2 linked regions of the Daphnia pulex genome follow. The protein of the gene in region 1 purifies or fractionates together with the protein of each later gene. This does not show direct contact. Links are inferred from orthologs where the notes say so. Each region holds a gene or a part of one and is shown on either strand. Other genes may lie near its edges. The genes, in order: dual specificity tyrosine-phosphorylation-regulated kinase 1B-like and DDB1- and CUL4-associated factor 7.

Region 1 (16,870 bases):
TGACTCTGCGGGTGGTTGATTGGGTTCCACTTAACCCAACGCACTACAAGACTGTATAACCAAAAATATTTCTTGTCCTTTTTTTTTGATGGCCAGGGTTTTCACGCTGTACGACGCCGATGGCGACGGGGTCATCAGCCGAAGTGAATTGCGGGACGTCGTCATGGCCATCCATCGACTAAGTCCTCACGGTAAAATCAATGACAAAAAGATTCCATTCGTATCCACGGAGAAGGAAAGAAAGAGAAAGAAAAGTCCCTGGGATTGTGAGCCCTCGGAGCTAGTCTATATACTACTAGTCTTAGTAGTGCAAACGTTAAAAGATAGTCAAGAGCTGCGATACTGCGGGAGTCGCACGGTGGGTGAGAGACGCCTTCCCGGAGGCAAGTCACGTTACATCGGAAAGAGCTACTGTCGACAGAGGAGATTGCTACTACGTGGGCTGTGTCAGGGGACCAACGCACACACACACACACAACATAATCACACACTGACGGTTTGGCTGGGAAGAGACGCAAGTCTCTGGTTCGGTCTATTCCCTACACTATCACACGATTTCGAATGGACAGACTCGGTCCCGTTGTTCTCTTCTTCTTCTTTAAAATCAAAAAAAGATGAGAGCAGCGAAATAGAAAAGAATTGGGAAAACATCAACAGGATATCTACAGCAATATGGGATTGGATGAATTCCAAACAGACGGGCGACGGATTGATCGGGTTGTTCAATCGTCTCGAATAAAGATGAATGTATAAAATATGTCGATTTTCTTGTTTCTGGCTGCCACTAATAACAGCGAAAAGAAAGAAAACAAAAACGTCAGTTTCTCAATCACGCTTGGAATGAAGCCCATCATAAATATAAACGCCGTTGGCATTCGCTATCGATCGATCCTTGGCGGGAAATATGAGACGAGGGATTTTCCTTTTTTTGTTTTGATAGAATTCTCCCTCATTTTCCGATACCACCAGCATAATATACCGAATCTATTCATCATGGCAACATTTGATTAATATGGATGTGTCTCCCTTCTTCCTCTTTCTTTCACCCAAAGGCAATCTACTCTCGAGTAAAACGATTCCTGACATGATGCCAAGTCCATCGACCACCAATTCGGCAGCTGCAATGGCCGAACGCAGAAATCACGAAATGTTTGCAGAACGACACGCAGATCGCATATTTCAGGTATTGATGCTAAGACTTTTCAATTCTATTCCTTTTCGTACAACAATACAAACGAATTTTATAAAATGGTGACTTACTACTTTTGGTGGTGATCACATTGATTCTGCTCCATCTTGCATGAGGTGGCCATGGGTAATTCTAGTTGATTTTTGAAATATTTAGTTCACTGGGTTTGTGGATTCAGTTTCTTTGATATCAGTTCTGTCTCTTTGCCACGTGGAATGGAACATTAAAGTCAAGTTTTAATGAGAAAAGTAACAACTCATGTGGCCATGAAGCCCATGATGTGACAAAGAAATGACCACTTGGTCGAGTTTAATGTTGATTCTGATTCGAAAAGGAAGACAACAGCGTTGCATGTTCATTTTAATTCCGATCTAATCCCCTTGGCGCACACAGTTGCAATTTTTTCTGTTTTAATTGAAGAAAGTAGCAAAGACATAAACATAACCAACCAATTTTATCTTAATGCATGAATAATCAGCAGTGTGTGCATATCGTAGGAGTATGTTATCCAGAAACGTCGTGTTTTGATGCCTCAGCCTCTTTGGGCAAGCAATTAAATTCGTCTGCTCGACTGGATTTGTTTATTATTAACGCTTGGCTCAACAAGATTTTAATCAGCCTTGCCCTTTATGTACTTTTTTTTAAACGAACAGAAATAGAACCTTTAAAGTTTCGGCAAGAAAAAAAAAAGTTCAAAGATTCTTGTTGATCAAAGGAATTTACTCGTCTATGCTTGAACGAACAACAGAAATGAACTTTTGTTTCGTTGTTCCAAATGGGAAAGAATCCTTGCACTCAAACGCAGCCGAGTTTTAATTGTAGCCACAGGCTTTGTTCCTTTGCCTCGTTTTACTTTGTGGGTTATTAAAATACAAAAATGTAGGCAAAACTATTGAAAATAACGATGATGATTTTTGTTTTCGTGACGACAGAAACTCGATCTCAATTGCGATGGCCAGGTTACTTGGGACGAATTCCTGGAAACGTGCACCAAGGTAACAATGTTGACTCACTCTAGGTGCTGTTCTAGTGGTTAATTAAATTTGATGTATACGGGTTTTCTGCGTGACAGGACGAAACAATCGCCAACACAATGGCGAACATGGACGTCACCCTTTGAAGGATTTCCTTCACCCTCGGAAAAGTGAAAAGGAAACAATTCTATCCCGTCAGTGTTGTTCCTTATGTAATTTTTGCCTGGATTTTTCCGTAGCTTTGATTTCTTTCGTGTAGAAATTATATTTCAATTTTACCCCGAGATATTTCGAAGCGTGTTGTTTTTCTATCAATTCATTAGATGACTTTATATATTACAAAAACAAACAACAAATTATTGACGGATCTATAATTGAGAAAAAAGGAATCCTGCCAAATAACGTGTTTTTTTATTGATCGAGTGTCTATTGCCGGAATTTCTGATTAACAGGACAAGTGAATGTTTTTTTCTTTTAACCCATTCGTTCATTCTTTATATTTTCGTGCATGTATATCCACATTCTCGAGAAAGACACGATTTTTTCAATGGTGTTCTATCCCCTTTCTCTTCATTTATATGTACACATCGTTTCATCACTAAAAAAAAAATTATGATCGATCTCACAAGATATTCCTCTCTCATTAATAACCTCCTGGTCAAATGAGGAGCTTCAAATAGATGGGGGAGGGAGGAACAAACGAACGCAATGTCACACGCACTCAATATTGGCAAGAGAGGAAAAAAAAAGAATTAAAAAACCAAAAATTAAATAAAAGGAAATTGTTAAAATTATCGTCAATGCAAGACAAACCATCAGATACGATTTGGGAGAGGAGACAAGAGAGGGGAAAAACACGTCAAGGATTTGCAATCGATCGGAGGACACACACAAGACGACGACACGCACAAATTTCAATATTTTTCTTATTTTTTGGGGGGGGGGATATTTATCCTTAAAAAAACAACAAACAATCCAACAAATTGTATCGTTATTTTTACCGTCGATGAAGAATTCTCTTGTCTATAAAAGATGGGAAGAAAACAAACAGACGAAAGAAAATATTTGTCTACACATACGAGAAGAGCCGAATAAATTAAAACACACACGCATCTCTCTCTCTCTCTCGAGCCACCAGGAAAAAGGAACACACACACACAAATAAACAAAAAGAATTAAAGACACGCACAGGTTCCCTGTCTGATTCCTTATTCTCGGCGTATGCAAATACATTTATTTAGTACGGGGAAATCATCGATTGCATTATTTTTTTTTTCCATTTTTTAAAAACTCATGTCTTAAGCTATATTTGGGGGTTTTGGTGTTTTTTTTTACATGTTTCTCTTTTTTGTTCATTTTGGTCGCTTTTTTTATTCGCGGATCTAATTTTTAAAAAGACAGATTCGGAGGAGAGTGAAGTTGATGTAGTAGTTGCGGAGGAGAAATTATATTAAGAAGGATCGGCTTTTGATGCTACTAATAATCAAAATGAGGCAGTTTGTAGAGGGGGAGACGACGATGGATAGGAACTCTTTCCGCGTCAAACCAGCTAATTATTATTATTTTTCTAGAAAATCATTTCAGGTTGGTATTCATTTTTTTTCTTTTGCTTTAAACACAAAAAAAAATCGGGTGATTGATTCGGGATTCTCTTTTTAAAAAATTCGGGAATAAAACATTGCAGATAATTCGATTGGTGGTGGGGGGGACGTAAGGAGTCGTGTGGCATAATTATTTTCGCTAATATAAAAAAGAGAGAAAAAACATTTCGCGGTCATGAAAAATACAGTAGTACTAAGGTTGAGCAAAACAAAATCCATCAAGGTTTTCATTCCGGATGGATAAGAAGGGAAGGGGGGTTGTTGTGTGGTTTCATTATTATTTTCACACGACTTTTGCTTTCACTCGCTCACTTTCTTTCTCTACTCTGCCTGTGTGTGTGTTTCTACAAAAGAGAACAGCGTCGTAAAAGAAGAAGAAAAACAAAATTCAAAATGTGTTAAAATAAAACAATCTGTCAGTGGCTTGCTACGGGACTTTGCTGGACGCAAACGCCCACTTGCATGGGACTGTCGGACCTGTCGCTGCTACCGCTGGCCGACGTCGCCTGTGGAGGGCCCGACCGAGAATTCTTGATGGCTCCGCCACCCACGGCCGATCCTGTCGCCGACGGCATTTCGTTGGCGTAGATGAGCTGATTAGCGGAAGAGGATGACGAAGCTGTTGGACCATTCATACTGCTAAACGCGCTACTGCTACTATTGATATTGCTACTCCCGTGACTGGAAGGGAAGGGGTAGATGGAATTGGAGGAGGATGAGGCGTTGAAGTAACCAGACGAGTTGGTGGACAGACCGCTGGGTCCGGGCGGATGAACTAAACTGTAGGGGGTCTGATATAGGGGCAAGTTGAGGCTGCCGCTCTGCGTGCAGTCCAGCGATGATGTCGTCGCCGACAAAGCTGCCGAAGGCCCACCGATATAGTTCACTCCACTTCCACCGCCCAGGTTGCTGTACGTGGCCGCGTTGTTGCTACCCACCGAGAAAGCCGAGCTTGATCCGATGAACGCCGAAGATCCGGACGCAAAGACACTTGGATTGCCGCTATTCAGCACTTGAAGTCCTACACCACCACCACCACCACTTGCATCCAGATGAGACGCGTATCTCCTTCCGGCGGCCGCCGCCGCTGATGAGGACGACGAAGAGTTGGAGTAAGTGGGCAGGTGGTGAGGATGCGGCCGTGATCCCTGTTGTTGCTGCTGGTGCAGGTAAGGAGGTAGACCTCTGGGACTTTCGCACTCCATAGCAGAAGACTGGACTGCTGTCGAGGCTGTCGACGAGCCCGACACGATGGCCGAATAATTGACGGGACCACCGTGACTCGGATCCGACCGCGCTCTACTTTCTGCGGCAGCCGCCGCCGCTGCTGCCGCCGCCATCACCGCCTGACTGGAATGATCCGCCATGCTGGCTGGACTGGTAGAGGCCGAATTGTTGTGCGTGTTGGTGCCCTCATCGGCCGTCCGCTTGAAGAAATTGTGCTGCAGAGCATAATAAGGTGTGATACGCGTCTTGGGGTCGTAATCCAGCATCCGCAATATCAAATCCTTGAACTTGAGGTAATCCGATACAAAGTGTCCGATTTCACCCGATCTTCTACCCCCAGGACCACCTGATTCCACACCTGACCAGAACAGGAAGAAAATCGATAAATACCACAAAGGGTTTCCGGTACGTTTTGAACATTTGAAATTGGATATTTACCGACGATGTCGTGAAGGCGGCGATGGCCCGGCGCTTTATACTTTTTGCCCTCTTTGGATTTCTTGAGGACGTAGGAGCCATCGGGTAGTTTGTCAAAGTATTTTTTGGTCTTGTGAGCCGAGTCGAGCATGGCCCGTGGTGGCATGCCCAGCACCTCGACAATCTTGTTCATCTGGTCCACCTCGTTGGCGCCTGAAAATAGCGGCTCTCCCGTGTGCATTTCCACCAGGATACACCCCAATGACCATATGTCAATTGCCAAATCGTAGGGGATGCCTAGGAGCACTTCTGGTGATCGGTAAAACCGTGACTGGATGTACTGGTATATCTGTAACCGTTAAAAAAACAAAAAAGAAACGACGATGAAATACTCGCCCAACGCAAAATACTGAGAAGACGCCAGTCAAAAACGCAAAAAACAAGTTTATGCAACTTTGTTTGGTCGTCGTCTGAAGTGGGCGCCACACTTACCCGTTGGCCGAGCTGGCAGGAGCTGCCAAAATCGACAATTTTGATTGCCGACCTCTTGGGATTACACAAGAGGATGTTCTCTGGCTTGAGGTCGCAGTGTATAATACTCAGTTCAGGCGTGGAGAGGAAAAGCAGGGCGGTGCACAACTGCTGGGCAAACTTGCGAGTCAGATTGAGCGAGACGCCGCGAAAGTTGGTGTTGCGCAGCAGATCGTACAGATTGTACGACAGCAGCTCAAACACCAAGCACAGGTGGTTGCGCCACATAAAGTGGCGCTTTAACCGCACTGTAAAGAAAGAAAGAAAAAATAAAATAATCAATAGAGAAAATTAAAGGAAAAGAAAAGAAACAAAACGGCAATTAAATTTTGTTTGTTTCTTTTCCTCCCGACCACACACAGAGTCGGTGAGCAGGTTGAAAAGGAAGAAATGCTATTTTACCGATATAATATTTGTTCTCAGCGTCGGCCTTGTTCATCATCTCGAGCAATTTGACCTCGATCTGGGCCTGATTGAGAAAAGGTTTCTTGTTTTTGATGATTTTGACGGCCACATGACATTGCTCCTCGTGATCGTAGGCCTTGACCACTTGACCGAACGAGCCCTTGCCAATGAGTGAGTCGATTTCGTAACGATCGAGAAAGCGTTCGCCATGCCGGACGATATAGTCGTGGTTGTCGTCGTCATAGCCATCGTTGTACACCTTGCGCTCCTTCTTGTTGTGCTGCTGACCGGAATCTTCGCCTGGGGCTTGCTGTTGCGCCCTTCTCTTTTTCTTGGCATAATAAACCTGGCGGAAATAGCAATATAGAATTAGTTACAAAATAGACCGACGAAATGTATGACTACTATTGTCTCACTTCGTTGATGTGTTTGTAGGTTTTGATGAGGTCTACGGAAAGTTTTCGCAGAGGAGCCGAGGCAGGGTCTCTAAACTGACGAGGTATTCGCGACTGCATCGTCTGCAAGTCGGAGGAAGAGCCGGCGGCTGACGTCGAGGCAGATCCAGCTCCACCACCGAAAGAGAGTGAGGAACTCCCTGCAAAAAAAACAAATACGAAACAACGTTAAAATGGAGTCAGAATTAAGTACTAGAGTCAGATGATTTATTTACCTAAGGAGGAGGAATTGATTGCGGCATTAGGATTGATGACGGACAATCCTCGTCCAAGGGCTGCCAGCTGTTCTTCGGGCACCAGCCGGCCATAGACGGCTGTGCTGTTGTTAGCACTGCTGCTGTTGTTGCCGCCGCCGCTGCTAACGACGCCGCTGTTGCCACTCGGACGACCGGATGACGACGACGAAGATGAAGACGAGACGACTATACACTCGCCGGCTGGTTCCGTTTCGGAAAGGACAGTCACCAACCGGGAGCGAAAGAAAGAAACGAAAGAAGAAGAAGAAAGAAATGATGAAAAATGCGCCACACACACAAAAGTTATGAGGCAAAAATTTATGTTTAGGTATTTTTCGTGAAAACTATTTTCGACCGTCGCTTCTTGTTCTCCTCCGCATGGTAACGAGCCCATGTTTATCTCTTGTTTGTCGTGTCGAGAGTGTGTGTAGATATATTTATAAATAAATACAATTTTGTCAAATAACGGAATGATCGGTCCCCGTCGGAATTTGTTCGGAATCTCCAACCGACCGCCCCCCCCCAAACTCTCATATATGTGTGCGTGTGTATCGGCGTCGTTCAGGGAACAACTTGTTCCGCCGCCAGATGGCACGAAAACGGTCCCTATTTTCAGTTCACTTGGCGTCTGACTCCGCCCCGATTTCCCCATCCGACGGCCGAGTACTCTTAGCCGCCGTGAGCGCCAGGAGGGAGAAAAGAGACAGTGAAAGAGAGAGTCTGATGAAAAGTTGGTGCAAGAGACGTGAACAAGGAGGGGAAGCAGCGTGACGGCGGCGGCGGCCAGCACGAAGAAAAGAAGAAGAAGGGCAAGAGAAAGAGGAGAAAATGGCTAGACGGCAAAGAGAGAGAGAGAGAGAAGAGGCCATATATACGAGCCCGTCTGTCGATCAACGACCCGCCGGGAAACAACACCCAGGGATGGACAACACACACACACTCTAGTTGTGGCCAGGCATCCCAGGGCTGAGACGGAAACGAAAAACGCATGCGCGCCGAGCAGCAACGAGGCCGTTTCGGTATTTGGCGTGTAAAAGATCAATGATGAATCACACAATTTTCGTCGATTCGTCGTTGGCCTCTAAGAAGAAAAAAGATGAACCTGTTCCAAAAGATAAACAATTCGTTGGGCATGTGTCGATGGTGAAATTGGCGGGGGGAGTACCGCCGTCGCAACACCTCCGATTGATGACGCAGTCTAGCCCCGTCTGAACCGGAAATGACGTCACGACGTGACGCACTTGAGTCAGCCAGCCAGTGACCGTCATTGAAACGACTTAATGAACCAGACACACAAATTTTGACACGGCATTCCTTTTTTTTTTCTCTCTCTCCTGAACATCGAGGTTCTTTTTTTAGAAATGGAACGGAATAATGATTCCATTTATTTATCTTCCCCACCCGCCCAGCTGTAGTCATCCCGTTGCTTGCAAAGCCAGACGAAAGAGAAAATGTCTGGCATTCCACATACTCTGGCCTCTCGATCCATTTTCGGGAGTAGTACCAGCGCCTGTGTCTTGTCTGTGGTGGTAGTGGTGGTGGTACGAGACTTCCGGTCCACTCAACCAAAGAGTAGGAATTGGGTAGGGGAGAAACAAAATGAAGAAGAAGAAAAAATGCCCCGACTGCAAAAAACAACAAAAACAACAACAAGGAGGAGAATCCTGCCGTTAGGGAATAAATAGAAGCGACCGGAATTTTCACGTGATTTCTTCTCTCCTACTCCCTGACTTTGCATGACGACCGTGTCAAACACACACGAAAAGCTCACCCCAAATGAATCAATTCATTATTCGTTTTCCGTTGGGGGGAAAATTCCTGGCGACCAACTTGATTCATTTTTAAAATATTCGTTTAAAATGAGAAAAGGCATACTTTTAGTGTGGTGGATTTGCATCTGTTCATGCTTGTGCCAGTCGGGTCGCTTAGGCTGGACCAGAACGGAACTTTCCATCGCCATTCAGCAGAGGTCACTCGATGACCTCTTTTAACCTTTTCAATACTGTTGGAGGCGGGGTCAAATGAGGTGATGCGCGGCTTTTCTTCTCTCCGAAAAAAACCTGTTCTTTCTTGTCTTTTTTGCTGGTTCACACACAAACACTGCCTAATTCACTTGAAAACACTCTTTGGTATTTGTCGTTTAAGAGTTCCTGCACAAGCGATGATCACCTGAAAGATAATAGAGATATGAATTAGCTGTGAGAACGAAATGTGTACATTATGTAATCATATGAAGGCTTCTTAAAAAAACATTGTTTGGAGTAAAAATACTGCCAAAACTTGGAAACGATTTTTTTAATTAATTGGATGCCAAAAGCCTGAAATGTTGTGAGCGAGTAAAAATGCTCAAGAAAAATACCTTTTCTCAAAACAGTCCAATGAGGGGAAGTCTAAACTTGTTCTTTATGCTTTGTTTCTTGTTCTACACAGTCAAGAGATTGAATATATTTGATAAATTTCACTAGGACCCAGCTTTTAAATTGTTTTTGTGTGCTGCCATGGCGTTTTTTTTTCACGAGCCAGACGACACAACACGACACACACACACGGCGTATATACACTTTTCTGTACACAGTGATGGCGGGTGTCTCGCACGGCAAACTGAAACTTTCCCACTCGAAAACACTACGAATCTTGTGAGTCACCAACGGTTTTTACACGAATCCCGTACAGTTTCACCATGCAAACAATTAATGATGAATCAATGCCCACTAATTCCGTGATATTAAGCAACTTTTTAACTCTTTTACTGGGCGATTGGAATTACGTGTTGACATATCAACAAGGCCCCGAAAACAGCTAACGGAGACGAGCGCCCTCTGTACACAATTCTTCCCCTCTCTCCTTTTGCAAATGGCGTTGCTTTGCACACCAGCGCTTCGTAACGGCCACTAAAGGTAACTTCTTCATGAATTTTTATTTGTGTTTTTGGAGGGAAGAAGAGGCTACCGGATGCAACACCCAATCAGGTTTAAAACAACTAGTTAAAAATATAATTTAAAGAATTAAATTTTTAATTTTAAACTTATTTTTATTTATTAAAAAACTAAAAATAAATGATTTTATTTTATCCAGCTTGTTTAATCTTAATTCGAAATAGTAAACCCCATCTTCTGGTAAAAAATGGAATCCAACTGAAGAAACGTGAAACAGCGCCGTACGGTTCTTTTTTTTTTGTCGAATGCAACAACAACTGTTTTCCAAGAAAACTAATCTATCACGAATTCCATTCCAAATTTTAGATCAAGGCTATGACAAAAAATTTTAATCTGCGTTAGAAAATCCACACATTCAAAATATCAAGAGATTATGTAAGTGCAAGTTCATGGTGAAATAAAATTAGCCTGTTAAAAATTCCATTTCCAATTGTATTCAGTTTTTATCTAACTTTCTCAATAAACGGATAATTCTGAAACGTGTAGTCAATACATTTATTCCTAATTTGTTGCAGCTGTTGCGAATTTGAAATACTGGCGTTGTTGTACTTGTCCATATTTTCAAAGTAAATCACCAAATCGTGTATCACACACCAAAGCACAGACGTCTGCAACTCTTCGTAGGGAGCACGTCGGGCTATCGTCAAATAAAAGTTCGAATTCAAATTGAAATTGAATTTAAACATGGAAAGTGATACCATTTGTACTAGTCTTCAGAACTTAGGGTACTTTATTGTTGAATAAAATGATAACATTCTGCCATACCTAATATGTTGAACTGACTTGTAGATACACGGGGCCGATTAATGATGTTGTTCAAATGGCACGCCTGCTTGAAAGGAATGACCCTGAGTACATAGTAGATCTGAGTAAAGTTGTGAATTTTTTGTCACTCAAACTAGGATCACTTTGCCAACTCGAAGATATGGTTAATGCCATTGAAAAGCCAGAAGAGGGAGAGATGTTTTGTATGGAATTGGCTGGACTTTTACAAGAACTCTGTAAGATATCTTAAAAGGGACTCTTTCAATTGACAAAATGTGTAACATTTCACATGCACAGATTGTCCTTATAGCGTTTTGATGGATGGACCCCCTGCCCTGAGGCTTACAGCTAGAGAAAATCATTTTAAACTGTTAAACTTTCTCATTTCTGAATGCCAAGCTGCAATGATGAATAATCTTGAAAATCAACTGGAAAAATGTTCCCTAAAATCTGTAAATATTTAAACAAGTTTGTCCTTTAAATGCTGTGACTCATATATTTCTACAATTTAGGAAACCCCAACAGCTGAAAAACTAAAATCTGCATTAATGACTTTGGGCTTTAGCAAACCACCTTCTGATATTTCTGCCAAGCAACTTTTCAATAAAATGGCCGTCAAGATTCGAGAAATTTTATCAACAGCCCCAAAAGACTATCCAGGATCTCCTCTACTGAAAACATCACTGACAGAGCAACAATGGAGTCAGCTTCACCAACTTTTGGGAGAACTGAACAAGGACTATAAACTAAGACGAGAAATGTTGCTAACCCGGCTTGATGTGACAGTCCTATCGTTCACGGTAAGAACCAAGTAAAAATTGTGAAAACCTACTCATTTTAAGACGAGACGTTCTTTGGTATTTAGTGGTCTCCGAGTGTTAAAAGTAAAATGGATGAAGTATCGGCAATTTTCCAACCCTTGAGATCTAGCATGCTGGCAGAGCCCAATGTGAATATCAGTCGCTTGCTATCCGCTAGGTAGTAAATATGTTTATCTGTCTCGCTGGAAAACTAGAATCTATCTTAATGCTTATTGAAACATCTTTATTACCAGAGAGGATGTTGCTTATGAGGAGAAAACAAGTAGCGCCTCCGTTAGAGAGAAGACGAAGACTCCGCTTCAACGAATGCTCATTGGCGAGGTAGGCTTTAACTTGATTGCGCCACATCAGTTTCCTATTAATTAAATGAAATTATCGTTATGAAAGGTTCCTGATCGAGGTGGTCGTGCTACTGAAAACCGACGTCCACCACCCGAAATGCCCGGATGGCAGAAACGTAAACCGGATGGAGGTGGAAGAGGTGGATATCGCGATGGTGGTGGTGGAGGTCAAAGAGGAGGCGGCCGAGTCCAAGGTGGTTGGAATCAAGGAGGAAACTCGTGGAATCAAGATCAGAAGCCGCAGTGGCGTGGAAGAGGAAGGCATTAAAATTTCAAGTCAAAGTGTGTGAAAAAGTTTTCTGTGGATTAAAATTCAATGCATTACAACTGTTGGAAAAAACTTTATTCTACAATTATTCAACATTCTCTACATACTACGAACTTTCTTTTTCTCCTTATATATGCACATGGTCCTAACTGAAAACCCAAAATTTAGTGTTAAAATGTAGTAGCTACAGTAACAATTTATTTTTGAAGAACTTACTCCAAGGGTCAAAACGTATAATTTCCAATTTATCATCTAATCTTGGTCGAATCAGGTTAACCCTATGTCCTGAAACAATGCTTTCTAACATGACCAAGACGTCCCTGCAAACAGAATAAAAAAATTATAGTTTTTAAAAATTGAGTTTCACTTATTATTCATGCTATTGTTTCTTACTTGGCTTTAGCTTTTTTAGCAAACAGAACTCTAGTAAGCAGCATGTTGAACTGATGATTTACAACTTTCTAGTGGTTAACTGGTTTTGTTAAGTGAATATTCTAATGGTTTTTTTAAGAAAATTGGGATTTTTTACAAAAATATTCAAAAGCAAATTCAACGCCAAACACAGGCTTTTTTCCAATGTGTTTCAGAAAAAAAGCAGACGACAACACATATCGATAATGAATTTGATCGATTACTTTAAAATTATTGTTCTTTTTCTATGGCTTCAACTTCAAATAATGAAATAGTACAAAATTTTAATTTATTTATTTACGTGATACTTAGTTTTTCCAATTTAAAGAAACAAAACAGTGGAATGAGTAGAAAATTGAATAAATGTTTAATTAGGTTAAAAGTCGAAGGAAGAAATTCCACACTCGCTCCCTAGCGGAGAACTGGCGAAGTAATGCGGAAATGCCGAGTTAAAAATCGAGGTTATAGAATTGAGGAATGAAATGTCTACCTGTGTAAACCTGGCGTCTAAAGCTTGGGTGACTGCTATCGATTGTATTTAAGAAGTAGTGTCTCTGTGTTTTCATTCATTTCTCTAAATGTGCGTTGAAGACCTAATACTTGTGAGTGAATATGTGTGTTTTAACGGTACTAACAGTTTTTAAATAAAGGTGCTAATGGCGCTGAAACCTATTGAATCTTTCGTTAAAAGTGACTCCAAGTTCACAATGAACAACAACATCCCTCGACCTTTTTCTGAACCTCCGCCTTACCCAGGCACAACGACTCGAGCAAGCTACTCACATATGCCAAATTCAACTATGAATAAGTTTGGTAGCAGCAGAACTGACACCAAGCCAGCAGTTGCACCTGGTGGAATTCCTGGAGTACCTGTTACTTCGTTAGAACAACAGAGAAAACCATACATTCCACTAGGGGAAATTCGCCGAAATATCCCACCAAACCAAATCAGACCAGCTCCTGCAGGTCAACAACAACAACAAGTGCTGATACCAAATCCAGGACCATCAAGTTATCAAAGCTTGCCTGCCTTCAATCAACAAATTTCTCAGATCAATCTCAGACCTGTTGCAACAAAAGATGATGGGGATGAAGAAACATCTACCCACATGTCTGAGGAGGAACTGATGATGCTCTCTGTCCCAGTCTTAGCCAGACGTTTACTGGAGGCTCAGAATCGAATTGCAACTCAAGCAACAGAGATCAAAGGTAAAGACATCATTCATGCCCCACTAGTTCATAATATTATCATTTGATTCTTGTCTTTTTATTAGGTCTAAAATCATCATATCAAAGGCTTCAAGAAGATAATCAAGAGCTCAGAGATCTTTGCTGTTTCTTGGATGATGATCGCCAGAAAGGACGGAAGCTTGCCAGAGAGTGGCAACGTTTCGGTCGTTATACGGCGTCCGTAATGCGCCAAGAAGTCGCGTCTTATCAGAATAAGCTTAAGCAACTCGAAAGTCGACAGCAAGAATTGACGAGGGATAATGGAGAACTGAAAGAACTTTGCCTTTATTTGGATGAAGAAAGGAGCGAAATCCAACAAGCTCCTTGTGTCTCTTGCGGAGCCACTCCGTCGCCACCCCCAACCGAATTGAACATGGCTGGTCTGAATCAGCAACAGCAACCCGTCCGTGATGATGGCGACGGTAGCAGCAGCAGCACCAACGCGGATGAACCAACCAATCTCAGCATGCATCCATCCCGATCGCATTTATCGGTCAATCGTCCTCAGACTCTTTCGGGCATGGTCCACCAGCGGGTTATCCGTACCAGCAGCCAAGATCGATTACTTGATGTAAATTTGACCACCAATCCACCTAATTTTTCAATGAAAAAGTTGCTTAACCACATTTTTCTCTCTTAATTAGGATCACTCTCAACATCGTTCTGTATTGGCCGAGCAATTGCTGCAATACACTCGCCAACTGGAGCTTCGCATACTTCAAATGGAGGAGGAGCGAAGTGGGCAGTCGAACAACGTAATTCGGCAACCTCAACAACAGCAGCAGCAAAGATTGCGCCCACCCCACCCTCCGCCTTACAACGCTGTTCACAATCAACGGGCCGTTGAGCTTGGCATCCGTTCGGACGAGATTCAACAAGAAGACGATCAACTGGTCCATTCCCGTCCCGAAGCCGTCACTCGTGCGCTTCGTGTTTTACAGGTCTAGTTATTTTGGTTTTGCATTTTCTGCCACTTGTAGTAACTCCAATGTGTTGTCAATCAAACAGGTCAGAGAATTTCTAGAACCATCCAGTTTGGGAGTCCTACCGTCGGTTAGTCGCAGCTCGTCCCGTCAGAGGAGCGGATTGGTCACTCCCGATTCAGAGCTGGCCGACGAAGAGGTCGACCGCCTTGGTCAGCAGGCTACTGATGGAGAAGCCCTTGGAGACGGTGAACGGGCTCTCGTTCACGCCATGTGCAACGTAAGGATTTTCTATACGTGTCAAATTGAGTCAAAGACGAAAAAGAAACTGGTTAAACGAGTTCATTTCATTCCCTATTTAAACTTACAGGTGGTCTGGAGGAAATTGGAAGAAGCGCCATCACTTTAAGTAGGAGAAGAAGAAGAAAAAAAAGAAAATGACGTTATTACGTTGACCTGATTTGCTCCGGCCCCGAGTGACGTTTTATTTTTATTTCGACGTTTTATTTTTTGACCCGACCATTCCGTCCCAAAAACTCATTTTTCGTGCCAAGACGATCATTTTTCGTCTCCCAACCCGATTCCGTCCATATTTGCAAGATGACACTGCGTGTGGGTGTTTATTTTCATTTTAAATTTACCTGCCACTTTTTTTTTTTTACATTTCCTCTTCTCTTCCATTTTACTTCTTTCTTTTCATATTACATTCGTCTCCCCTCAAGAAATAAGTGCATGGCTCCACCCCTACGCCTTTTTAATCGATTTCAATCATTGTTAATCTTCCCTTTTAACTTCCCATGCGGAGAAACAAATACAAAAATCTATTTATTCGAAAGGAAATAATCGACCAATTAGTTTCGGAATTATTTTATGCGGAAACAAAGTTGTATTGTGATTAAGAATTGGGAGTAAAGGATTGAGAAAATCCCAGCCATTATGGAATTAAGAGAAAGAAAACAGGGAAGGGGGAATAATCAGGATTTACTATATAATATAATCGACTAAATACATTCTCTTATTTGGTTGTTGTTTTTGCTTGTTTAGGACGAGTAGGAATGAAACATGTTTGACCAAAATCAACCGGAGGAACAACTTCGATACGTAGATACAAAACACCAAACGCGGCACAGATACAGTGGGAGGGAAAAAATTAGGACACGAAAGAATAGAGGATAATAAACAAAAAAATTGGGAAACGGAAAGATGTGTTCGATTATACATATATAGTGATAGTAGATCAATAGTATAGCTGGGACGGATTCTTAGTTTTTCTTACAAACATACACACACACCAACAGGGAACATTTTCCGGATGTTTTGTTTTTTTCTTCTTCGACACTGTGTAAAGGGGAGGTCCTCAAATTGCTAAATGGTCCGAGAAAAATGGATTGTTTTCTGTTATCTAGATCAAGTCACGAAAGGTGGGGTGCACTTCGTAAGAGAGAGTAGCAAACATGAATCACATAAAGAGTTGGTTGTTTCATTAACGGAAGAAAGTTGTTAGGGGGGTGGTGGTGCCGGTGCTTTTTCGCGGATGTCGAGCCAGACAAAGGCAAAACAGATTGCACGCCGAGGTGTAATCGCCAGTGACTCGTCGAAGGGGCGCCCAAGAAGAAGAAAAAAAAAACATAATAAAGGAGAGAGGACAAAACTTTCAGGACGAAAACACACACCCCCTTTAAAATCGAAAAAAGAAGAAAAAAAAACTTTGAAAACCGGGAGCTGAGATGGAAAAAAAATGAGTGGAACTTATCACAAACAAAATTCAAATATCGTTAGAGGTAATAGTTTTGAAAAAGAAATGACGGACGACAAAAATAACCGAACAACGAAAGGCAAGTGTTGACGAGGGATTTGGAACATTGTGTTGTCGTTTTGTGTAACGATGAGCCTTTTGTTTCTTTTGTTTTTGGTCTTTCTCTCTTTTCCTCTCTCACCTCAAACTTTGACCATTTGACCCATGGGCCAGTTGTTGAGGTAGCGGACGGTCGGAACGTAAGCCAAGCCCCATGGGTGCTGTTGCTGGACGAAGCGAGATTTGGGTGCGTGGTAGTTGAGAGCCATGGGTGGAGGAGGTGAGAGAGAACTATAGGAAGAAGTGGCAGTCACAGGATACCAGCCCTTGTGCGATGGGTCGTAG
Region 2 (16,316 bases), on another chromosome or scaffold:
TACCCTTGGCTTGAAAGATTTCGTTCGGTTACCGTATCAGGGTATTTGGCGAGGTCCAAGAGGGTTCCTCGCCGGAATTTTCAATGGTTCGGCTTCTTTGGTCAGTCACGTAACAGCCGGAACTGTGACATCCGTCACCCAATTAGCAAGTAGCGTGGCTCGTAACGTTGATCGACTCTCCTTCGACTTGGATTTTCAACAGCGAAGCGAAGAAGGAAGAAGGAAAAAACCGCAAGGTAACTATTTTGCTATTTATTTATTTTGCGGTGATGTGCGATAAATAAAAATATATATATATATTTTTTTTTTAACTATTTTTTTAGGTTTGGTTCAAGGAATCGGCTGGGGTCTCAGCGCATTGGGATTGAGCTTACTTGGAGCTTTAGGTGGATTGGCTCATCATCCACTTCAATCGCTGATTGAAGACGGAACAGTAAGTCCGCGCGGTCTGGCAGTCGGACTAACTAAAGGAATTGTAGGCGTGGTCGCCAAACCTATTTCAGGAGCAGCCGATCTGGTTGCCCAAACTGGTCAAGGACTCTTGAGCGCAACCCAATGGAGTGAACCCTTTCAAGCTCGGCGACCTCAATTGCTCGCTTCCAATCAGCTGGATTTAATATGCTCTGGACCGACCAAAATTTTATGGAAATTGAACGACGAGACGCCACCGTTGACAGGCCACCATACCAAAGCTAGTCGGATCTGCTGCTGTTTAGAGGCGATGAGAGCACGTGTTAATGATGCTCTGCCCATTCGCGAGCAATTAGCGCCTGTGATATTGCTCGTTTCCACCCAGAATTTTTGTGTTCTCAACGCTGAAGATGGAGAAGTACAAGTGGTCCTAGATTTGAATGAAGTTGACTGCTGGGCTCACAAAACTGACCCAACTCTGATCCTGGTCAGACCTACTCCTTTGAGCGCCCCAGTGCTCGTGGAAGCTAGGCGCGACGATGATTTCAATCCCCATTATGATTATCAGCGAGTCAGCGAGTTTGTTAGGCTTACAACACCATATTTCCTACCGGAAGCTGCAGTAGAGACGGTTCAAGATGTGACGACCAATCAAACATCTTCTATCGCCACAATGGAGTTTTTCCTCAATCCCACTACCAAGGATTTCTTTATCCAATGCTTTCAAATGGCCAAACAGCAAAGAAAAGGGGTTGGCTTTGCTCTGCTCTGATGGTTTTCTTGCTACGTAAACGCGCCTTAAAATAAGTTGTGACTGTTTATTTCCCTGTTCAGTAAAAAAAAATTGTCAATTTCAAAATTCTGAATAGATTCAACCTTATCTGTTGGTTAATGCAGGCTATTTATATATTCTACTTGGTATCGATTTTTTTAATACTGTTAATTACTTGTTTCGGCTAGTGCCTCCAGGATTATTATTAACATGTTGTATGAATCATTCCTGTGATGATAGCTCACGCGAGTTAAATACATCGGTTACGTAAAATTGAAAGTAGTTGAATGTTTTTAATCATGAAGTAAAAAATTTAGATTGAGAAAACTTTGAATTGAAACTGACATTTGAAACTGTATTATTTTCAATACCAAACAAGGAATGACGAACAATTTCATCGTTCAGCAATAGATGATGAACAAGCCTCTTCAATCAATCTTGCAACCTCCTTTGTTTTCAATTCTGATTGCTGAATAAGTTTTTTCACCTGTTTCTCATCTAAAGTACATCCTCCTGTAAAGTCAAGGGAAGGTTATGTCCAAATTTAAGAACATCATAGAAATTTTTTTACCTGGCTTATACATATGTGTAACTGAAGTACCCTCCATGGTAATAGATGTTAATCCAGCAGCCAACTGCTCCTCTTCAAATGTAGGATCACTGATCAAAATACCACTGTTCAAAATAATGAGAAATCATGATTTCATAGAAGTTTCTTCATGTTTTTTTTTTAAGCACATACTTATCAAATAAGGAGAATGTTGATGTAACTGGCTGCTTAATTGTGTCAAAACTCATTTTTTCATTTGGGTTGGAAACTAGTTTGTCCATCTCCTCATCATAACTCACAATGGGAAGTTTCACTGTAATGAATCAGTGAATGAATTAGATTATAGAAAATAAAACATAAAACTTTAGAATAGAATTACAATTTTTCAGTGCAGCTACTAATGCCATCACACAAGCATCTAGTAAACTCCCATCAAGGTTAATGCAGAGTAGATCACAATGAAGAACCCAAGCCCATTTTGAAACCTTTATGCACAATGTTTCCAAGTCCATAATAATATTGTTATTGACTAATTCAGCTATAAACTGGGTAGCAGCTTGAGCTGTTTCTCCAGGAGGGCCAGATTTTATTTGTGAAGAACATAAGGATGGCAGTGTCACATTTGGGATGATGAAGCCTTTAGAAGGCTCCTCTCTTTCTGGAGCAGCTAGTTCCTGGATTTGATAGATTATTGTTGATAATAGTTTTTGAAAAAAATAGTTATGAGTGTTTTACAGCTTTGATGCCACAAATGACAGTAGTATTTCCACATTTGACAATAGCTGAGCCATCAGCTGTTCCTATGGAACCAGCATTTAGAGTCATTTTTCTGAATTCCAGCAGTTTCCGACCGTCTGGGCGTGACTTGCGATCAAGGAAAGTCTTGTAAAATTCCAATGGTTGCAGTGTTCTGAATTAAGAGGTTGATATCAAAGTGCCCGCAAAAAAACTTCATAAAACATGACTTACTTGTGGTCAGTTGCCATGTTTAAATTTGTATTGGAAATAGAATCAACGCATACAGTGACGTGATGCGTAATCGGAAACACTAAATTGTAATTAAACAGAACATATATTAGTTTTGGAGTACTGAGTTTACACTGACGTAAGTGAAATAATTCATTACCAAATTGTAGTGATGTTTCGTTAGTGCTTTTTCTAAACGTTAGCGTTATCCGTTAAGTTAACGATGTCCAATTTTTTCACGTTCGTTAACGCCGTTAATTAACGCCGTTAAAAATGTCTCCGTTAACGAAAATTCGACGTTATTTTTACCGTTATTTAATAAAAAAATTGCACTATCAAATCACTGAAATCAGTCACGGTCTTGATTACTTATATTTAAATTGCTGCTGGCGTTGAACAATGTCACAATGAAGCAATGATCAACTAAAAAAAACAGAAACTGCGGATTAAATAAACGCACAGACAAAAGAAAAAAAAACAAGTTCCAACTAAAAAAGTAAAGGCCTCAATAAATCCTTATTGCAAGTGAGGAAGACTTTTGCGGCCAAAACTTCTTCCGCCGTCCTATTTTTGTGTCCTAGACAGTGCCATCCGGCAATGGAAAATTCGCGTTCAGATGATGCCGAAGAAACTGGTATAACCAGTAAATTATAGGCCATTTTGGATAATTAGGGGAAACGACCAGACAAATCCTTCCAGTAAGAGATCACATCTTGAACTGGTGGATCCTTAGAAGGATCAAATTCATGACTTGCAAAGTGGAAGTTGTCTAAAAGTTCAGTTTCAATGCAGTCGAGGGAAGTGGCTAGAAGGTAGGAGCAGTCGAAATCAGGATCTCTTTAATCTGTCATGAAATTAAATCTTCTTTCGAGATCTTCTAACATCGCAGATGCCACGCTTATTCACCGTCAACAGGAGCATCAGAGTCTGAATCTGACATTAAAGATTTACACTCTGATTCTAGTTGTTTCCCTACTCTACTTATACAGTTTCGTTTGCCACGTTTTGAAAGCAAAAAAAAACCTCAGAGAAGCTAAGAAGACTACTGCTCACTGTCATTGGCTATTTAAATTCGTTTTCATAGTCAACCTACTACAGTAAAATGTTGGAAGCGCGCAAAAAATACAAATTTCATTTTGAAAAATCCAAAAATTTCATATTTGGCAGCGCTGTTAAAAACAAAAATAACGTCTGAAAATAACGTCTGAAAAATGCCAAACGTTAGCGTTATCCGTTAAGTTAACGAACCCCAAAAAAGGTCCGTTAACGGACTTTTCACGTTATCCGTTATCGTTAACGAAACATCACTACCAAATTGAATTTCAAAGGTTCAAACAATAATAGTAGGTAGCAGACGACGTAAAATCTAAAAGCATGGCCAAGCAACGTTGTCAGAAATTAAAAAGTGTGTGTTGCTTACTTGCTTAGTTGCTTCCTGTTTGCTGCTGTTTCCTGTTTGCGAGATTAAATAAAACCGATTGGCAGAAAATCAGCAGATAACACTTGAAGGATATTTTTCCTAAATATATAGAAAAAAACGTTCGACTCTCGAAATACCGGTCACCTTTAGAATTTAATGAACTTTTTTGGCATCAATATGGTAATGGGGTTGTAGACAGAAATAGTTCTGTCTGACGGCAAAAAATCGGTAAATTCTGTGGGAACAAGATAACTTGATATCGTAAAACCCAAAAGGTAAAAAAGTTTGGAAAATACCGAAAATCAGTACAACAACGGTTCATATCGCACAATTAGTAGGTTGCCTTTCAAATCCAAAAACCTCATTTATGTACCTCATTTAGTAAACTGTTAACTAGCTCAAGTCAGGAGTTATTTTACTTATTTATTTTTTTACAAAACAATTTGTGCATAAAGAATGCTTGAGTGAAAATGGTGTCAGGGAAAAATGTCGTGAAATAAAAAACAATTTGTGGACTAATGTCTACAGATGCCATCAGTAACATTAGATGTTATGATTTTTCAATCGTGCGTACCGTTTTAGTACCTTAGGAAAGGTGACATTCCACAGTTCAAAGTGAACTGTATCCACTTGGCCTGTTCATTCTTAAAATAAATCCAAGGGATGGAATCTCTCGCAATCCCGCGACAGTACACGCGTGTAGTGCTATTGTTCAGAATATGAGGCGCGTACCGCAACAGCCTTAAAATAAAATTTCCCGTCGCATACGCCGGCCGATTAATATATACTCTTAGCGAATTAATATGGAGTAGAAATTGAAATTTTTCGGTGGAGGGTTTCGAAATGTAATTTTAAACGTCCTCGGGTGGAATAGGCGAGGTCTGCTGTGTTCAGTCATATCGAACCCCAAGGACATTCTTTGTCTGTTATTCAGGAAAGTCCTCATGGTCGTTCTTGAGAAAACCCTTTATTGATGACGGGGACGTTAGCTCTTTTTAAGTTTGCATGTAACAACACCTTCGCCGTCCGAGGAAAAAAAATTCATAAAAGAGAAAATCAGCACATAGCTACCGAACCAAAGACGTCTTTACTTTATAGAAAGTGAGTTAGTAGAAGCTGCCAAGGTCGAGTTAAAAACGCAAAAGCTTTCGTCGATTGCTTTAGTCATGGTTGAGCTTTATTTCGACCCATAAATGATCAAGCTCAAACTCGATTTGATTTGATTTATTTACACCTTTCTTATCATCATCATTTTGGACAGCCAAAGATTTGATTAAAACAGGTTTTGTCAACTACCCAAGTCCTCCACTAGGTGGACAACCAATCGATTCATTTTTTTCTTTCAGGTGGCTCTCTCTCTCTTTGATACACACACACCCGTTTTTGTGAGAGTTACACAAGGGGCAGTTACTGGCTCTCCCACTAGTCTCCTTCCAGCCACCGTCACGACCGAACGCTGGCTGAACGACGATATGATCTTCAATTGTATCGACCGAGTTGTCGGGAACGCTTTGACTCAGTGCCAACTATCGAACTGAAGCCGTCGTAGGATTTCGACCGAAAGAAATTGAGCATTGCTGACCTTTTTACTAGAGTGTTGTTCATTCTGCGCAGACGCTACAATTCACGACAGCGTGGAGAAAAAAAGGTTTTCCCCCCAACATTTTGCTAGAATTCCTCTGACGATTCGTGAAACAAATCTGTGACGTGCGCAACTTTCTTATCTGGCCAGCAGCTTATATTTTTATCTTGTGCAGTCGGTGTTGTTGACGACTCGCTTGTGAGTATGACACATTGTCTTGGTGTGGTTGCGAAAATGAAGAGTCAGTCGTTCGTGGATTGATTGTCGTAACGTGTTTTATCTCTAAACGCTACATATCGGCGGCGTTGGTCGATATATCGTGCGACTCAGCCTGGAAAAGTCTGCCTGCTGCCAAGACTATATATCGATCAAGCAACAAAGACGAATGGTCTCGAGATGGGACAATCACTAAGCTTAAACAATCATCAACCCCCCAATAGCCGACTGACTTCTCCGACCTCTCACCGACAATCCCTTAAGCGCGTACACAGGTAAGGCTGTCGTTTTTGGGAGACTTTCATTTTTCAATTTGTTTATTCTCAATTTGCTGCTCGATTTACAGTGAAGAAGTCGGAGATGGGAAAAGAACCAGCATTTCGTTGCCCGCTTCGCCTTCCTTCCGCAGAAGAGCTGTTAGCGCCGATCCTCAGCACGAACAACTCGAATCGCCTAGCAAATCGCCTCTGTCGTTTGATTCGATGCTGAAGAATTTCGAAGAGTTTGCCCAACATCAGTGGCCGACTTGGGCCAAACGAAGAGGCTGGATCGCCGACATCGCTCCCGAAACTGTTAATCCATCCACTGTCGCTACCGATGACGGGAGCGGCCGCGTGATTCAAGTCGACAAGGATAAATGGATCTTCCTACGACCCAGAAAGAAATGCGCAACATCCATAAGTCCCATGGTACAACACGCTTATCACAGCAATCTAATGTATAATCTATAATGACTTATCGGAGTTTCTTTTGTCGTTTATTTAAAATCAAGGGAGTCGCTAGCATTCCAGTAGAAACGGTCATCGAAGAAGATGTTCTACTGGACTGCGCTGTGGGCAAAATGGTGGATATCCTGCACATCGACGAAACTCGAATTGTGACTGGAATCAATGGTCAGAGATCACGTCGTAGCAGCGGCTATGCCTCTGCTTCCAGTTCACCGTCTGCGATCAAAAGAATAGCTGAGCCCTCAACTGCATCGGTCGCCATCACAACGGCGGGCGGTCATCTGGTGGTCCCCGAAGATTCAAACGATGATTGGAGGTTTTCAAGCCTTTATGAAGTGACTCTTCGTTGGATGTTTGAAGCCGATTCTTGCGACTTGATGAGCGACGCCTCCTCCAGCCAGCAGTCATTTGAAAGCAAGGCCGTTAATAATAACCAATCCGTCCTGAACGATTCCGGAACTTCGTCCCTCGGAGAAATGCGTCCAACCGAGGAAGATTCATTTCTAGCTGCTACCGAGTCGTCGTCAGAAACGATTCGAATTTACTTGCACTTCTTTTGCCGACAAAAAAACAAGTTACCCTCATTTATTGATTTCCGTCCTATCCCTCGTCCGACCTATGACATCGCTGCGGGTGTTTCTGACAACGCGGTGGTTCGTGAGCGACAAATGTATGCTCTTGTATTTCAAGACGGAAGCCCCGGCCCCCAGACTTCATTTCCGAGGTAAAAGTGCGTTCGTCTCAAATAACCATTCGTAAGTCGTAACCAATGTCCGGTTTTCATCAAACCGGATACAACCGGTCTCTAGAAAATGGCTAGAGGGGGAGCTACACTGTAAATCTAAATCATCACATCGTCGGCTCAGACGAGCGTCACGTTCTCGAGGCTTTACAGAATCTGGTCAAATCGAGAACGATTTCTTGAGGTGAACTACTTCGTTACGCTAGTCAATTGGCACCTGCCTCGAATAGGTTGAAATTTTCTTCCTATTTCCGCGAATTCTTTGTACTCCTGCATCGATTTCTTTACCATTTGTAGGTGGATCGAACTAGACTCCATCAATATTCTCGTCATAGCCTCTAGTTTTTCAGGGTCCTTTTTGTATTGATTTCCTTGGGGAGTTTGAATTTTAAAACGAGGGTGCCCACAGAGTCAACGTTCTTACACATGCTTTTGTAACTCCTTATCCCCGTTTCAGAGATATTGCGTGCATCGAACTGGTACAACAAATCGTAGAAGCCCATCCTCATCTTTCAGGTTGGGAACCAAAAAAACTGGCCATCTATGAAAAAAGCTGGCAACCGGGAAAAACCAGTCGAGGTACGTAGTCATACTTGCGTTCGTTCGTTATCTGTTTGAATCCTTCTTTCGTCATACTTTTTACCTTCCCTCTCTCAAACGAGTCGGACTCGATCGTACTAAATTCCAGAATACCAAATCATGTTGTATTTGCTATTATTTAGCTCGACTTCGTCGCTTGAATGATTTCGATTGTCCGCTTCTACTTGCCCAACATTGGCAGGCCGATGATACCAATCTCGATGCCTCTAGCTGTGCCAAAACTCTAATCCTTCAAGAAAGCCAAAATGGAGACATTCCGGTAAAATACCATTGCGGGGCTCTAATTTTCGACATATTCCATCGCTAAACTATAAGCGCACCCATTTTTTCTTCTTTCTATATTTCAGTGGGAGGAATTTACAGTGGCTGAACTATCAAGTTTCCTTAAGGTTTTGGAACGTGAAGAGAAAAATCACGAAATGCAGATTCGCGAGAGATACCAACTACTTAACGAGCGGCTACGAGAAACTATGCAACTTTCGAATCCAACAGCTTACAAAAGCATTTCAAGTAATCAAACCAACCACTTAGCAGTCTCAAATTGAATTTTAAAGAGAAACATAAAAATATATATGATGTTAATACCTGCTGATCTTATACAGAATCCGAGTGCTGTGATAGAAAGCTAATAAAACAATGTTGTTGATTCAAATTCAGTCATTCTTTTCCAAGTTTTTGCTTAGTAGTACAGACAAATTCAAAATCTCAAATGTCACATTCTTATGATATTTTCCTTATTTTAATTACAAATCAACGATCCGATTCACGAGAGGATACGAATTATTAAAAAAACACGATCTAAGATAACCTGATGAGAAGTTTTCAGACATTAGTCATACTCAGTTTTGATATATATAGGTATTAAAGCATTAAACTCGTAAAATTTCAAGGGATCGATTGTAGCAAATGGCAATCCAATCAGGTTGTGTTGCTCCCCACTGGATTTGGTTGATTTCACCTTCAGCCGCTGTGTAAGCAAGTATGGGATCTTCAATGGCTCGCGGCATTTGCTGGATATCCCATATCAAGGCTTGATGGTCATCACCTAAATTATTACAAACCAGATCAAATCGGATCAATTATATACAGCAATTGGCAGCATACATCGTGCACACGGTACTTGCACAATTCTAGTTACAAATAAAAAATATTTACCAGCTGTGCAAATATGACAGGAAGAATGTGGGGCCCAAGCGATGCCATTTACACATGCCCTGTGATTACTCAAACGAGCGACGGGAGTACACGGCACTCTTACATCGAGTATTACCACCTAACATTTGTAACAAAGAAATTTGTAACGTGTTCTCTATTTGAAATGAGGTGAAAAACCGAAAATACTTCACAAGCATCCATGGATATCGTTGCTAAATAAGAAGGGTCCTGTCTATTCCATGCTAGTCTTAACAGAGGACGATGCTGAGGATCTTCATATATGATTGTTGAATGTTCTAGGTGTCTAAGGTCAAACATTCTCACGGAGCCATCAGCGCCAACAGATGCAAACATATCTCGCCCGCCTCCTGCCCGGCTGAATGCGATATCATAGACCTCTTTATCATGTGCGATTAACTGAGTTTTTACGTGTCCTGCTACACCAGGGCCACCAACTCGACCAACAACCTTTAAGATAAATAGTTTGTTATAGAATAATAAGATTTAAAGAAGTTTTAAAGATATTGCTTTACCTGTCCAGTTTCCAAACCCCATATGGTACATGTGGTGTCAATACTAGATGTTCCAATAAGGTTAGGTTCAACTTCATTCCAATCAAAACTTGTAAGAGGAGCACAGAAGTCTGAGTTTTTGTTCTAGAAATTGTTTTCAATGAATTAAATTTCTTGTAAATAATAATAATTCATGTAAAAATTACATTGTTAAGGAGGCATTCTAATCTTGTGTCTGGTTCTCCTGCTTTCCATATGCGTAGATAGTCCCCACTTGTAGCCAGTAAATCAGGAAAAACACCTTTCTGATAACACACTTAATTATTAACATTTCTTTAACCATATTTGAAACAGGATAGTTCCATACCGCATCAGGAATCCACATAATTTTTGTAGTAGGATATGGATGATCAAAAGTACTTTTGGCACTGAATTCTGCTGAATCTTCATCTAATGAAATTACTTGAACTTTGTTGTTGTATTCTTCTACAAAACTTCCAATAGCCAATCTAATTTGTAAAGGAATTTGAGGTTAGTCAAGTTGAATATTACATTTCTTAAACATAAAATACATAATTTTAAACTTCCTCCCTCACCTGAATCTCTTATCTGGACGCACTGACCAATTCATACTGTAAAGAGTCCATGGTGCTTCGTACTTGTAAATTTCCTTTCGTTTGGGAGCAACATTTAGCCCCGCCATTTTTTAGAAAACGACACAATTCCCGGGAATCGTGATCAAATATGCAGAAGTGTTAGAATTTCTTATGTTGGCAATTTTAACCGGAATGACAGTGGACCCACGCAAACAAATAAACCTATCTATTAACTTAGGCCAGACAAGACAACCATTAAATTTTCTCACACTGAAGCTGTACACCAAGCGGTAGAAGTCTGAAACGAAAGTCAGAGTCAAAATCAAATACAGGCAAAATAGATACGATATTTTGAAGAAGAGCGCCACCACCGCTAAATATTGTCTGCTACCGATCGCTGCAGTGCTTCAACGTTCAACCGTTCAACCTTCAAGTAGTAACGTCGCAACTACAATTTGTGAATATTGTTATGTAATAACTCGGAATTTCTTGACAACTTTTCAGTCTCGGTCTTAATACTTTTAGATTTAAAGTAATTGCGATACTATAGAACGAACGAAACATCATACTCCGTATGTTATTATTCCTTTTTAATTTAATAAACACAATCGACTTCTCATGACCGAATTGGTGAATTATCAAAATATTTAGAAATCTAAAATATTTTGGCATTCATGATCAGTTATGTGTACATTGCTTCAACAATTTATATTACACTATTAACAATTCCTCTTTGATTGTGTACAGAGAAATGGAAACATCAAGCAAAATAAACAATGAAATTGAGTCTTTAAATGCTGAAGAATTAAACTGGATTCAGTTAAGAGAGGAAATTGGATCAGAAAGTTTGAAGAACCAGGAGACATTCAAAGAAAAATTCAACAGAAAATTTTCTGAAAATCCTTTTGTTCCTATTGGGTGTCTAGCAACTGCAGCTGCATTGACATATGGCCTGTGGTCCTTTCGTCATGGGTATAACTTTACAAATTGATTGTTGTGTGGTTATTGACCATAATATATTTTTTTTAAATCTGTAATTGTTTGAATTGATTCATTAGGAGACCCCAAATGTCACAAAAAATGATGAGGCTCAGGATTGCAGCACAAGGATTTACAGTTGTTGGCCTTATGGTTGGAGTTGGTGTTGCAAATGTGAAAGAAAATGTGTAAACTTGTCTCTCAGTCCCAATGTATCATATTATTTAGTACACATACATGAGACTTCTCATAGTATAATACATAAAAAAAAAACTCCCTCAATCTAGTGGGATTAAATGTATGGAAATCGCAGTTGAATTATTTTGCCACTCGACAAGGCCTACTACTACAGTAACGACCCCAATCGCTCGTCTTTTCATTTAATCAATTTATATTTTAAAAAACGTCTGCAATGTAGCAAATGCTAGCTCCAGGAAAAAAATAATTATTGTTAATGAATGATCGGAATGACGCGCACAGCCGCAAGACATTTCCTTCTTTTACACGGAAAACGGTTTGGCGCTATTGTTAAAGGACATGTTGCTATGGCAATGTGGAAAGTAAACACAGGAAAAGTTTTTTCAAAATCGTTGGTTTGGATTAACAATTTGTATTCGCGATGGAAATCATGTGTGATAGCAACATTGGTATAGATTATGAAGCCACTGGTAAATCAAATGATTTGGCGGTAAAAATAATTCTTCTTGGAGATAGCGCCGTAGGAAAATCAAAGTATGGATTTGTAGATTGATTGAGCGATGGGTATATGAAGCCATCTTCATCTTGTTGGATAGTATGGTATCCAAAAGAAACTGACGATAAATTTTGAACACAAATGCCTTTAATACTAGGAATGGCAGGAATATTACTCAATTGAAAATAGAGATTTTCTATATTGAGAATTGGAGGCTCTGACTCCCTTTTGAATTTGATTTCCATGAATGAACTGTTCAGCTTCTTTCTGTGCATTTAAAACTTTCTATATCTGGTAAATCCACAACCATCTAACTGCGCCTTGTACTCTGCCCTGTAATTTGAAAAAAAAAGAGTTGTATAAATTATTTTTCAAATCCCAATGATTTTAATCATTTTCCTACCAAGCAGAATAAATGCCAACATTTTACCAATGGCTACAGCATAATAATACTTTAACTGAGATCCAGAAGTAAATGCTTTTGCAGTAGGAGATTGACTTCCACTTACAGAAAATGAGATTTCAAATTTCTTCAAACCATCAGAAATCTTTGGAAGTTAGGATGCCCTGGGTTTAACTGGCAGTATTTCTTGAGTGTCATGCTTGAGTTACATTGTTGGATGAAACCTTCAGCTTGCAGCTTGTGGGGAAGGACTGTGCACCAGGGTAGCATTGTATTTGAGATTGACATTCAGCCCTGAAAAATGTTTTCCCTTTTTACTGAAAATTTCTTATTACGTGATAACTTAATATACAAACTCGGATAGATGCCCACTCTCCTTCCCCTGGCAACTGCGTAAAACGACATTTCCTCATGAATAGAAAATTTATTGAGGCTAGAAACTAAAGATTGAATTATACGTCTAATCATCAAAAACTTTACATAGTTTAGAATATTTGAAACATACAGAAATCTACTAACATGCACGAAAACATGAACAGTCAAGCCAGTCAAGTCAATTTCAAACAGGATTAGCAGACTACACACACAGACAATGATCAGACAATAATGCACTTATGCACAAGGTAGTTTTTCCCAAACAATGCACAGGTGTGTTAAATAAATTTATAACACATAGTTTTGATTTGAATATGTTTATTAATCACATCTTTTTTTAATTTAAAATAAAAATCATTAATCAATTCATTTTTATAATACTTTTTCATTAAATAAGTAAAAGCATTTGGGAATCCCAGACAAAATCCCCCGAGGGCCTGCTCAATGCCTCAATCTCCAACAAAGAACTCACTTGGCAACCTAGCGATCAAGGTCCATATGGACAAGAATCAGCAGACCAACATTGAACTCAAAGATGAGACAATTGCTTCTATCTAAAATCAGGTTAGAAATTTTGAATTATCTGAAGCCTATCTGTTAAAGATTATTGGCTTCTTCCGTAGCTATTGACATTGTCTTCTCATTCCAAATCTTAATCATCTCAATTTGTTCACAAAGTACTAAAAGTGAAGGCCACTGATTTGTCTGTGCCTGTGTTGTGTTGGCCAGCATTTCAGTAGCTTTAATTGACAAGTACATACGCTTCACTAATCCTAACCTTGTAATGATTGAATAGTAAATGTTTAATTCTTGTTTATTATCAGACAAGGAAAATGACAATTAAAACAGAACATTAAAGAAAAGAACAAAGAGAGATTAATTCTTGTTTATTATCAGACAAGGAAAATGACAATTAAAACAGAACATTAAAGAAAAGAACAAAGAGAGAAAAAGAAAAGAAAAAAAGGAGACGAGAAAAAAAGACATTCATTTTTATTTGGGGGGGAAGAAAAAAAAGGGAAACTTAGGTCCGACGAGCATAAAAGATACTTTCTCTTATCATGGACCCGGTCACCCCAGAAAAGAAAAGGTCGATGGACGTAAAGAGCATCAAGATTGTGGCCAAGGGTAGAAATTTCTTTTGATGATCCTTAACATCAATGTTAATCAGGGTGCTGTAGGCACAGATCACCATCTGAAAGATCAAGAAAGCGCAGTGAAAAATGCTGATGCCCAGCCCCCAGCCAGTCAGTCCCCCGATTATGTTGAGAATGGCGTAAGTGAAGGCCTCGCATGACTTGGCAAAGGCAGCTACTGCCATCATGCTTTGGGCTGTATTGTTCCGTGGATAGTTAGGATTGATCTATTGATAAAAATTAAAGTAAATTCTAAGAAAATTAAAACAATTTAAGTAACTCACGGTCTCTGGGTCTCGGGGTTGTGGTGGCGGGGGAGATATTTAAGTTTTAGAACTTGTAGCCTAAATTTAAAAAAAAATTAGGATATATCCTTTCTATGTTTTACAGATTTTCTTTAACTTACATTTAGCTCTGTTGTCGTGGTTTCAGAAGCCCCTGTCATGATGAAAATGGATCCAAAGTAGATAAAAATGGAAAGGAAAGTGTGCTACAAAATGTGTGTCGTGACGAAAACGTGCCGCTCGTGCGATGCTCGAGCGCGTAGCAAATGCCACACGTGCTGAAAAACAAAAGACTGCTGTGAGGCGCGCCCTTATCCCCGGCCGAGCCCTATGATTGGCTAGTTGTCTCCTAGCAGACAACAAGTTCCTACGACCCAGAAAGAAATGCGCAACATCCATAAGTCCCAGGGTACAAGCTTATCACAGCAATCTAATGTAAAATCTTAAATGACTTATGGCGGAAAATCCAGCCCTGGAATGGAACGCTCGTCAAGAGCAACCATCGGAGCCAAGTGTTGGAATGACTCCAATTTTAGCTCGCTGCTCTTTGCGAGTGATCTACGCTCCTCCGATTGTCAGCCTGGAACAGCAATGTCTCGTTGCCGGGCAAGCCATTGAGGTCAACGCTTCCAGCGATATCCAGTTGCTAATTGATGCCAAGCAAATCGATTATTACATTCAATGGATGAATATTCTTCTTTCGGCAGCTACGAACTTGTCTTCGAAAGAGCAACAAGTGGCCGGATTTCCAGCTCATTCATTTTTTACTTCTAACCGAGTTTGTGTCATCATCTACACGTCGCAGCCAGACGAATTTCTGCCGTTTGCCTTGATCAATCTCATCCAGCCTCACGTATTGATCAAAACGGCTGATCAAGAAGTACACGAAATCGCCGTTTACGACATTCGGTTACAACTACCTTGCTGGGCCGATGGATCACCTGTCAAGAGTTGTTTGCTTCCGAATGAAAGCATGTATCCAATCAGTTTGATAGAAACGCGACTCGGTCAGCCGTCCATCATTACTGGAGTTCCACCTTCTCTTTTCCGCCTTGAAATCATTTCTGCTCGCCAATTGAATGTGGAACTTGGACGCCCTTTCAAATTCATTCTCCATGCAGACAATATTTCGAATCTCCAGTATTTGGCTCGACAGTTGGAAGCCTTCCAAACCAAACAAGAAGATTCGAAGTCATCATTATACCGGCATATCTGCTTGAAAACGAGCCAAATGGTAGTGGAAATACCGGTTCCCTCCGCCGTAATCATCGCCGGTCTAAACGATATGCTACTGGATGTGACTTGCCAATTGGACACAAATGAAGAAAAACGAGAGAAACTAGAAGCTAATTTAATACTGAATGCTTTCTCTGTCAAAGCGGAAATGGATCAAAACATTAATTTGCAACTATGCGATCCTTTCAGTCTCGATAGTCGGATCCAGTTGTTGTGGCCGCACTGGTTATCTAATAAGCGCGTCTTGGTACGTGCATTTTGTCGAGCCGACAACCTTCGACTTCACGCTTGGCCTCGCCAAGTGACTGTAGCCACGGCTCTTACGCAATGGATGTTGCAAAATTACTCCCCATCTCAAAATGACGATCCAGCTCCAAAGGATGTCGTCGTGGATAAGGATGAACAACATTATCAGGATGATTTTAGAACTGGTACATTTGATTTCCAGGTTCGGGACACCACCTCCCGTCCTTCTTCCGGATGGATGCAAGCAGAAGAGAAACCACGTCCGTACCAGGTAGTTTTCAACGTTCAACCCGCCTCCATGTGCTGGGCATACCCTCAACCAAGAGCTCTGACTCGGGTTGATGTTTATCCGATTCCTCTAATGAAAGCGGATGGAGCCGGTCAAGATGCGGCACCTGGAGTTGAGCAGGTTGATTGTACCTTGGAGTTTTGGGATCACTGTAGTCAAGAATTCCGTATTCTGAGGCGCTTTTCACTGTCTGAAGTTCGTTTCACTCGAGTTCCTCTGCCCAGCATATCAACGAATCAAACAGCACGCAACGTCCAGGATGACGAGAGGAGAGCGGAGAGGGAACTTTTGGAGAAGCAAGTGGCTTTTTCTGACATGTGGCGAATCGTTATGCATTTTACCGAAGAAAATTTACCGGAAAATCGGCCCAAGAAGATTATCGCTGCCCCGCCCAGTAATATTTCATCTTATTACATTAACTAAGA

Evidence for each region.
Region 2: the proteins of dual specificity tyrosine-phosphorylation-regulated kinase 1B-like (region 1) and DDB1- and CUL4-associated factor 7 purify together in Drosophila melanogaster (affinity purification with mass spectrometry; 3 studies listed by BioGRID, with this or other methods). This does not show direct contact. The link is inferred for Daphnia pulex from reciprocal best matches to the Drosophila melanogaster genes mnb and wap.

Annotation. Positions count from the first base shown.
Region 1 is NC_060021.1:8,752,654-8,769,523, forward strand, and holds dual specificity tyrosine-phosphorylation-regulated kinase 1B-like, read right to left. Parts: upstream 9,885-16,870; 5' UTR 9,395-9,884; intron 9,205-9,394; 5' UTR 8,996-9,204; coding exon of another isoform or gene 8,911-8,995; 5' UTR 7,688-8,910; coding exon 7,015-7,687; intron 6,940-7,014; coding exon 6,761-6,939; intron 6,691-6,760; coding exon 6,342-6,690; intron 6,188-6,341; coding exon 5,901-6,187; intron 5,758-5,900; coding exon 5,430-5,757; intron 5,350-5,429; coding exon 4,181-5,349; 3' UTR 3,103-4,180; downstream 1-3,102. Other genes in the region: Kv channel-interacting protein 1-like, read left to right, coding at 97-191, 1,053-1,183, 2,122-2,184, 2,262-2,309; uncharacterized protein LOC124194269, read left to right, coding at 10,656-10,696, 10,761-10,972, 11,034-11,188, 11,249-11,536, 11,602-11,714, 11,791-11,878, 11,945-12,095, 13,334-13,786 and 4 more; 39S ribosomal protein L33, mitochondrial-like, read right to left, coding at 12,163-12,197, 12,274-12,315, 12,383-12,486, 12,560-12,603; maternal B9.10 protein-like, read right to left, coding at 16,669-16,870. UniProt on the Drosophila melanogaster protein: Role in the specific control of proper proliferation of optic lobe neuronal progeny.
Region 2 is NC_060025.1:4,759,405-4,775,720, reverse strand, and holds DDB1- and CUL4-associated factor 7, read right to left. Parts: upstream 10,558-16,316; 5' UTR 10,358-10,557; coding exon 10,251-10,357; intron 10,164-10,250; coding exon 10,022-10,163; intron 9,960-10,021; coding exon 9,861-9,959; intron 9,799-9,860; coding exon 9,676-9,798; intron 9,611-9,675; coding exon 9,329-9,610; intron 9,261-9,328; coding exon 9,143-9,260; intron 9,033-9,142; coding exon 8,857-9,032; 3' UTR 8,630-8,856; downstream 1-8,629. Other genes in the region: vacuolar protein sorting-associated protein 13B-like, read left to right, coding at 1-236, 324-1,183; exosome complex component RRP43-like, read right to left, coding at 1,578-1,696, 1,755-1,858, 1,926-2,046, 2,113-2,407, 2,469-2,643, 2,703-2,719; uncharacterized protein LOC124202359, read left to right, coding at 6,098-6,192, 6,264-6,606, 6,690-7,369, 7,845-7,966, 8,110-8,246, 8,335-8,532.